Solanum lycopersicum: one gene and its partner. The protein of the gene in region 2 binds, or shares a complex with, the protein of the main gene of each other region. Links are inferred from orthologs where the notes say so. Each region holds a gene or a part of one and is shown on either strand. Other genes may lie near its edges. The genes, in order: NADH dehydrogenase [ubiquinone] iron-sulfur protein 7, mitochondrial; NAD(P)-binding Rossmann-fold superfamily protein.

The links.
Region 1: the proteins of NAD(P)-binding Rossmann-fold superfamily protein (region 2) and NADH dehydrogenase [ubiquinone] iron-sulfur protein 7, mitochondrial are in contact, whole or in part, in a cryo-EM structure (PDB 8BEE), measured with the Arabidopsis thaliana proteins. The link is inferred for Solanum lycopersicum from reciprocal best matches to the Arabidopsis thaliana genes AT2G20360 and AT5G11770. Residues at the interface, in NP_565469.1 of Arabidopsis thaliana: Arg100, Gly101, Ser102, Glu103, Asp104, Arg107, Lys110, Leu111, Lys122, Thr151, Arg152, Asn153, Phe154, Pro330, Phe331, Pro332; in NP_196738.1 of Arabidopsis thaliana: Arg140, Glu148, Arg150, Trp151, Asp176, Arg177, Ile178, Val179, Pro180, Val181, Asp182, Lys205, Arg208, Arg209, His214, Trp215, Trp216, Asn217, Lys218.

The regions. Positions count from the first base shown.
Region 1 is NC_090810.1:60,011,285-60,015,715, reverse strand, and holds the start of NADH dehydrogenase [ubiquinone] iron-sulfur protein 7, mitochondrial, read right to left. Parts: upstream 3,105-4,431; 5' UTR 2,408-3,104; coding exon 2,001-2,407; intron 1-2,000. Other genes in the region: uncharacterized protein, read left to right, coding at 4,385-4,431. UniProt on the Arabidopsis thaliana protein: Core subunit of the mitochondrial membrane respiratory chain NADH dehydrogenase (Complex I) that is believed to belong to the minimal assembly required for catalysis. Complex I functions in the transfer of electrons from NADH to the respiratory chain.
Region 2 is NC_090808.1:58,530,649-58,535,164, reverse strand, and holds the start of NAD(P)-binding Rossmann-fold superfamily protein, read right to left. Parts: upstream 2,842-4,516; 5' UTR 2,688-2,841; coding exon 2,588-2,687; intron 2,472-2,587; coding exon 2,375-2,471; intron 1,864-2,374; coding exon 1,799-1,863; intron 1,693-1,798; coding exon 1,607-1,692; intron 1,444-1,606; coding exon 1,359-1,443; intron 1,280-1,358; coding exon 1,209-1,279; intron 1-1,208. UniProt on the Arabidopsis thaliana protein: Accessory subunit of the mitochondrial membrane respiratory chain NADH dehydrogenase (Complex I), that is believed not to be involved in catalysis. Complex I functions in the transfer of electrons from NADH to the respiratory chain.

The DNA of each region.
Region 1 (4,431 bases), on a different chromosome or scaffold from region 2:
TTGTGTGAAAAAAAAAACACCACGAAAACTTAAAAGGTGAGTTCTACGCAATTAGACCGGCTTTAATGTATAGGGAAATGTTGGCCGGTCGACAACACCCATATTCAAAAGATGCAAGTAGCATATGTGGACGTTCAGATGGATGTGTGGGCATATTAGGGAAATAAGATTAGGAATGAGGATGTCTAAGACAATGTGGGAGTGGCCTCCATGGCGCACAAAGAGAAAAGCAAGGTTGAGATGCATTGGACCTAAGAAAAGAAAGATGCGGAAACGCCCTAGTAAAAAGGTGTGAGAGGTTGGATATAATAGATATGAAGAGAAGTAGAGGTAGATCGAAAAAGTATAAAGAGGTGATTAGACAAGACATCACACAACTTCAACTTACCAATGACATGACCTTAAATAGAAGGGTATGAAGGTCATAAAAGGTCAGTAGGTAGTTGAGTTCTATCTCGCTTTTCAACAGAATTAGACTTGATGGAAGTATGGTAGCGCGTGTTTCTCGTAGTACTAGTCATAGACATGTAATCTCTTGCTTTTGCTATTTGCTACCCTCTCTTGTCTATTATGTTTAAATTACCGCATTATATGATCGTTGTTATTGTCCTTTTTGTTGAATGCTTTCCTTATCAATTAAATGTTTTCCTCACTATCGTATTTCTTTTCATAACAACTTTCATTTGTTGCTCTTGAGCCATTGAGCCAAAGATCTTTAGGAAACAACTTCTCTACCTCGTGGGTGAAATTTGCATACACTCTACCTCTCCAAACTCCACTTGTAGGACTGCACTGGGTATGTTTTTGTTGTTAACTAAATACCAACAAAAACTAAAGAGTTAAGGAAATAAACAATCCAAAGAATATATACATGTCTTTTTAATCAATATGAATAATCAAATGACTATTTTAGCTGACCATTGCAAAAACAAAAAGACACCACTACTGGGTGGGCAGGCTATAGTCATTACTCATTACACCAAACACAAAAGATGTTGCTAATATTTATGTGCAATTGCCCGTCTTCATTATGTTGAATGGTTACAAAAACAACAATATACCTAATGTAATCCCATATGTAGGGTCTGAAGCTTTATTGGATGCTATCTATAAAACAATCTCCGAATTTCTTAATCCGATAATAAATACGCAACTTCCTTGGTACAAAAATCAAAATGCTCGCCCCTTTGATACCTTATTTAACCAACAAGAATTTAAAATAGGGGAAGACTCATTTTCGATAATTGACATGAACACTCATTAAAAGACGAGCGATGATTTCAACATTTTTGTGTGTTGAAAAATCGGATACAAATTCTTAAGTATGTTCTCACAAAAAATCCACATGTTCTTTAATCAGGGTTCCTAGAACGTTAACAGCAAAACTTTAAAGAAACCTGGCAAGCCACATGTTGCGTTATATCATATACAAGATTATTCTGATTGTCATCCCACTGGGTGATGATCTATTCTGCTCCTGTGAGCTATGTTCATTCTGAGTCCTACTAAAACATTCTACCAATATCATTCAAAGCATGACAAAGTTTCCTCTACATCTCACGTTATTACCTTATACATTATAGCTACAATGCTCGAGAACCTCGTTTTTCTATTACTACACCAAAATCCACCACTCCACCAAAAGACGAGTTTTAAATAACACTATGCCAACCTTCATACCAAAGGGAAGAGTGGGAGACTATGCCAGAGAAGAAACCAACATCCAAATAATCAGATTAAATGAAGCGAATTGGAAAATCTCATGCTATCCTCAATTTGTTGCACTTGATGGAAACATAGCAATAGAGAAGAACGAAACAGGTTTTCATGAAACCAATCGATTGATATTACAAAAATACAATCAGATTTCCCTAAATGCGCTTATATCAAATCCAATTCTACAGGAAAAATAGGATCCAAATATAGACAAACATATGCTTCGTAAACAGATGTATGGGATAAACGTTAAAAGAGGATTAACTGTTAGAATGTATACATACTTGCGAAGAGCAGGGGCCATTTTGTTGGTAAGTGTACCAGCAACAATCATAACATCAGATTGCCTAGGGCTAGGTCTGAAAATAATACCGAATCGATCAAAATCGTAACGTGCAGCTCCGGCGTGCATCATTTCCACAGCGCAACAAGCCAATCCAAAAGTCATGGGCCATATGGACCCACGACGAGCCCAATTCATCAGATCGTCCACCTTAGATATAACATACTCAGCCGGTTTAGATATCCCTGCTGGTGTATTCATGGACGGAGGCTGTGCGCCACCGTAAGTGGCCGGAGAAGAGGCAGGTTGCTGCGAGAGAGATGGAAGTGTCGTGTGGATCGTCGCCGCCCTTTGAAGGAACGGCGCCGTTCCTGTGAGTAGTTTCGCATTTCGAGCTATAAACGCCATTTCTTATTCTCCGGTGAAACTCCGGCTTCTGGAGAATTCCAAAGAGAAGAACAATGAAAGAGGCGGCGATTGGTCTGAGAAATACATACACAGTATTAATTTATTGAATAATACAGATCGGGACACGTGGAACTGATCCAACGGTTACCAGTGGATATGGATACCCGGTTGTAGATGGATATAACCCGGTCTATTGATACTTTGGGCTTGAGAGATATTATACTTTGGGCTTGAGAGATATTTTCCATTGGGCTTCATATTTGGGCCCTTACCTAATTTTTGCAAAAAGAATTGACATAAATAATCGTCCATCGAAGACATTATTAGATAAGATATGACATAATTTTAGAGGATTGAGGATATAATCTTATACAAGAAGGTAATGAGGTCGAGAATAAGGATAGAAGATTAACTGATAGTGCAGTTTTCTCGTAATGGTCGTAGTAGATGTATCGGGTAGTTTCTTTTTTACCTTTTCCTACTTATTATTGTTATAATCTTTTTCATTTGATTTGAATCGAGAGTCTACAAGAAAACAACCTCTCCTTTCTTTTAAGTAAAATATAAAATATGTGTATACACTACCTTCTTCGAGCCTCACTCGTTGGAATGCATTTGATATGGTATTGCTGTAATTTATTTTTCTTCAAATGTGTAGTAATATATATGTTGTTGGACTTACTTTGTACATTGATGTTTTGTTGTCTCTTTTTTTTTTTTCACTTTTTATGCATTAGTTACTTTTCTTTGAGTAAATAATCTAATTGAATATAAACTTAATCCTACAAAATAGAGTTAAGATTGTACTTTCTTTCTATTTTGTCTAAGTCAGAGTCGGAATTGAAGTTTTAAATTAGACCCCAAATCGAGATTAGAGTTGGGATTTCCAATCTATTAAGGTTTTATATTTGGGCCTTCATTTGATAATTATTGGGTTAGAAAGAGTTTGATTATAAATTTTAGTTTGTAAATAATTTTAAGATTCTCGTTCGGAGTAAAATTTATAAATAGATGTAGTTATGTGATTGTATACATACAATTTCATTGGAATCTATGTATTCTATATACTAGTTATATGATTGTATACATTCTTTTGTTTTGATTGTATTTCAACGAATTAATTATTGTAATTGTTGATACAATTGTGTGCATCGAAGTCTATTTCTAATACGTGAATATTGTATGCACCACATTTGTTTTAGAAATAGACTTCTGATACATATATTTACATTTTGCTTGTAGATATATATATGATACATTCGATTATATAAGTAATCAATTTTACTTTTTATATTTGACCATATATGACAATTGAATCATAACCATTGATTAAGAGTATGTATCATAAGTTTGTTTCTCATATGAACGTCGAAATTCTTCATTCACACATAAATTCAAAAAAATTTTATAAAAAACTTAGATAATTTTGAACTTTTTCGCTTAAAAACTCGTTAAATCGATAACTCAATGTATATGATCATGTTGTATACAATATATACAAACGTTCAATTAACTATATCAATATATACAGTTTAAGATTTCACAATTATAAAATTACTTCGACATCAAATATTAAAGTAAAAACACACTATACACATAATGTTTTTACCAGCTCAAACATGTACACGAGATTTACACAAAATCTACTCTATCTTATATTCCCCAAATACAAATAAAATATATTATTACGATACTAAAATAAACTTAAAAAGTGTTTGAATTAGCTTCTTAAAACTAGCTTTAGAAGCTAAAAAGAATCACTTTTGTCATTTTAAACTTAAAAATACTTTTCGTCTTTTCAAAAAAAATATTTAAAATAATTCAATCTAAAACACACTAAATTAAATAATATTCTTAAAAAAAAAAGGAGGAAAAGTTAGATTCTTTCTCCCTAAGTTGCAAACTTTATTCAGTATAATCAACAAGCAATCCATCTCTCTTCTTCATTATCATCAATTCCAATACATTTGATTGATTATGGCAGATAAGCCTAGCAGAGCACTGGTATTGTACGGTGACGGGTT
Region 2 (4,516 bases):
GTTACTACTATTAAGATTTTGGATATTTATATATGCAATTAAATATTTTTAATCTTTGGTATTAATTGGCGCCTTAATTCAAAAAGGCAAGCGCCTCGCCGCTCGCCTCGCCGCGTGGCGAGGCAGGCCCTTGTCGCCTTTTGTCGCCTCTCGCCGTCCAAAACACTGGATTGAATATTGTCAACTTGATAGACAGGAATCAGGATAGAGGGATAAAGTGGATAGAGGGAACTCTTATTCCAGTTGAAATAAAATAATCAACAAATTTTCTGTATACATATCTTACAGATTGTTTTTAGTTTCTTTTATGAAAGGATAATACCAAAAAATTGTTTTCATGAAATGGTAGTGTAACTGGAGTATCTCGGCAGCTTGCGAGCACCTCAACCGATTGCATGGTGTACCTGCTACCTCCTATAGGACATAGGTATTAGGTAACTCTATCCACCAAGACTTGGACATATTGGAAGAAATCACCAAGTGTTTATGCACTTCTGCTACTGCCAAGATTTGAACTTGAGACCAAATGGTTCTCAACCAACTTCATTGGCCCCTAGGCAAAGCTTATATCACAATCACTCTTATCATCCCCAGAATACTCCTATGATGCAAATCCCACCAATTAAATGTAACTAAATGAAAATTCATGTTCTTATCTAGGTTGAAAGAAGTCTCATTTTGCACAAACTAGCAAAAAAAGGCAGATAGGTAAATGCACTCTCAGTCTGCACATTCATTCACACGGAAGTTTATCTTTTTGAATCAGTTATATGCACAATGACATACAAAAAGTTGGTAGGGCTCTCCAAGTGAAACCAAAACTCAGGCTAAGATAAACAGCACTGAGAATAAAAGGGTAAGATAAACAACACTGAGAATAATGGTTAAGATAAACAACACTGAGAACCACATGTTCAATAAAGAGAAACACATATGATACAATCCTCAGAAAACCACAGAATGAGTTGTAATAAGTTTATGTATTAACTTTAGATTGTCCTCAGTATCGTAAATCACAAGTTGACACATTGGACAACATCTTAATTATCAAAAGAAAAGAAACAGAATAACCCCAATAATGCACTGGATGAAATATCAAGATTGAGACAAAGCTTTTTCTTTTTGAACTTCAAGATTGAGACAGATTATTTCAGTTTATATTTAACTAATCTAGGTAAAGCAAAAGGCAATATAACAGCAGAACCTACCATTGCAAGCTGTTCAGCTATATGGAGGTTGACTTCATCAAAGCTGTAATTTCTCGTCTCATAATCCCTTCCTGGAAACCAGAAAGTTTACCGACAATAGTTGTAAAGATATCTTTATGGATCACTGATTAAAAATGGTAGAAGGCATACCAATGAGATTGATCACAACATTAGCTTTAGCCATCACTGCCTTAACTGAATTTTCATCCCGGGGATTGTATTTCATAGGAACAATCTAGGCAAAATAAACAAAGAGAGGTAGTACCCCTATAAAAATGAGAATGCTTTCATAACTCATGTCTTTGTTTAAGAGAAGCTCAAAGACATCAGAAGATAACAATAAATCAGATCACAAAAGTAAAGTAAGTTTGACTAGGGGAGCACAGCTGTTAACATACCTGTCCTAAGTCACCCATCAACTTAAGATGACGAGGAGAATCCTCAGATCCACGGAAAGGAACCAAGACTTGACTGCCCATTTTAGCTGAGATCCCCAAATAACAGAAAACAAGTACCATTTACCTCAAAAATTCTTTAACTTTGTTGGTATAGTAAGTACAGGAAAAAGGAGAAGGTCATTAGAACGTTACCAAGCTGTTGTACAACATAACGCCCCAGAAATCCAGTAGCTCCAAAGACTGTAGCGACGATTCCACTGACAAACAACAGATTCAAAAACCATATAAATTCAAAAAATACATAATTCAAGTTGCACACATAAAAAAGAAACAAAAAATGAACAAAATCTATGACTCGTCATGTAGATATTTAAAATAAAGAGCACCAGAAGCACCAGGCCAACCAATAAGCAAAAGAACACAACTTTGAATTACACTCACACAGTATTAAGAAACGCAAATGACATATCAAATTTAGTGGAACAGTACAAGATTAAACAATTATCACCCTACCCTCAATCCCAAACTAGTTAGGCAGCTATATAAAATCTCTCTACTCATTTTGCTCTATCCAGGCCCATTTTATTCCAGTTACTAATCATTTGACTTCTAATATAAAGAGTTCTCTTAATCTAGAGATCAAATCCCAACATTGGCAAATTCAAAACCTAATTCGAAAACTTACCAATTTAACCAAACCATTATCTCAACGAGTTGGGTACCATCTTACACGACTGTGAACAAGATTTTCAAAACAAATTTATTTACCTAACGGATGATCTTCCTCCAGTTCCCTTACGAATTAGAGGTCCCGCACCCCCGGTGGCAAGGTTAGATGCGTAGCGCGGAGTAAGATAACCATAGTCTGAAATAACAAAAACATAAACAAAATAAGAACACAATCCGATAAGAGATCACGACATTGTAGAGGAGGAAAAGGAAAAAAACTTGAGTTGCCCTAGAAATGCATAAGCTACATACAGTGATCATCAGAAAGAGGATAGAGAGACTTGAATGATGAAATGGCAGGCGAATGATGTTTCAAAGATTGGTGCCCTAGTTTTCTCGTGATGGCCTGCATCTTCGTTCTCAGCGGAGCTCGAGCTCACAGAGAATGGGAGAAGATTGATTGATATCGGCGCTGTTAAGGGAATTGGGGGAAAAATAGATGCACTGGCTGAAGTAAAATACGTATTAACTTGTCAACTCTATTCTAGTAATTGGGTGAACCTCATTTCTAATACTACTTCCCTTTCAATTTGCCTTTTTTTCTTAGCAAATCGTATATAATACCAAATAATTATTTTAAATTAAATGTTATAAATATAGTTTAGTTTAATTGTATCTCATAGTAAATGGTTAATAGTTTGTCTCTTTAGGTGAATCTCACTCGTCATTCTCATTCTCTCACTCGTCTCTCTCGTTTTTTATACAAACGCAAATGTATAAAACGTGTTTGTGTTTTATAGAGCTAGAGAAAATTGTATATATACATATATTTTCGTTCCCCTCTCTCAGAATTTCGCTCGTTACTCTCTCAGAGCTCGCTCTTCTCTCTCACTTATACAAACAAAAATGTATAAATTGTGTTTCTGTTTGTATAAAGCAAGAGAAAATTGTATATATATACACATGCAAATACATACATCTTCGTCCTATACACTTATATTATACAATGCAAATATTTTCCTACTCAATTCTCTTTTGTCTTGCTCTCTTTCTCGCTTTATACTAACACATATTATACAATTGATCTTTTGTATATGTATACCGAAACAGAAATAGATTATCTACAATTGTCTTCTTTTGTATATGTATAGCGAAATATACATATTTATGTTTACTATGTGCACAATTATACAAACTATAACTATAGCCTACAAATATAATTTTTATGTTTGCTATATGTGAAAAATGCTCTTTTTAATTTCTTCATAATTTCTTTTAATATATGTTGGGAAAAGGACAAATTTACCGGAATTATTGTTAATAGTATATTAATACTCTCCTTCATATTTTTCGTTTATTAGTGCACTTATCGTTAAATAACTCGTGCATATATGCCCATCCAGTAACGAAAGACTTATTTGTTACAAGTGGCGCAATACTACGACTCTATCTGGTTTAACCAATTATTTAACCCAAAATTCAAATACCCGTCAATTACCCAATTTATCTATTACTCACACAACACAAATACTATCAAAAAATCTCCTCTCAAATCTTTCGTTCATCTCAAAAACTAAAACCCTAGTTCATTAGAGATTCTTCGTTGTTTGCATTGTTTGTTCGTCGACTTTTCTTAGTTGATTCTCATCGATTCGTCGTTTCCCTTCAATTAGACCTAAAACCATATTTGAAAGTAGTTGTGGTTCAATTAGTAACTCCATGATGATGACTTATTTTTGGTGAAATGGCTTGTTATTTCACTTCAAAGACTTCAATGAAATCCGAAAGAAGATTTTATAAATGTTCTAAACCTAAGGTACATTTTCACCAAATGTTAATTTGTGAGATTTCTGTTTGTATTTCATATGATTATGAGTTCTTCTATATTTTTATTGACAAATATGAATTTTAGAAGGAGAAAGATAGTTCTCCGGGAAATTCTTTTATTGAAGTAAATTTATTGAAGTCTAAATTGAAAGTTGCTACATTGAAAATGGAAAATTTGAGAGTTATTGAATGCGACTAATATTGAAAGAGATAATTTTTTTTTTAAAAAAATGGAGAATTTAGAGAGTTTTAACTACTTTGAGGTGAACAAATCAAGAAATTTGAAAGCAAAAGTGACGAAATTGAAGATATTGTGTATATTATTATTTATTGTGTTCGTGGTATTTGTTGTTGTAATTTTCAAGTGATTTAATTTTTATTCATTAGATCTTGTGTAGCATAAAGAAGATATGT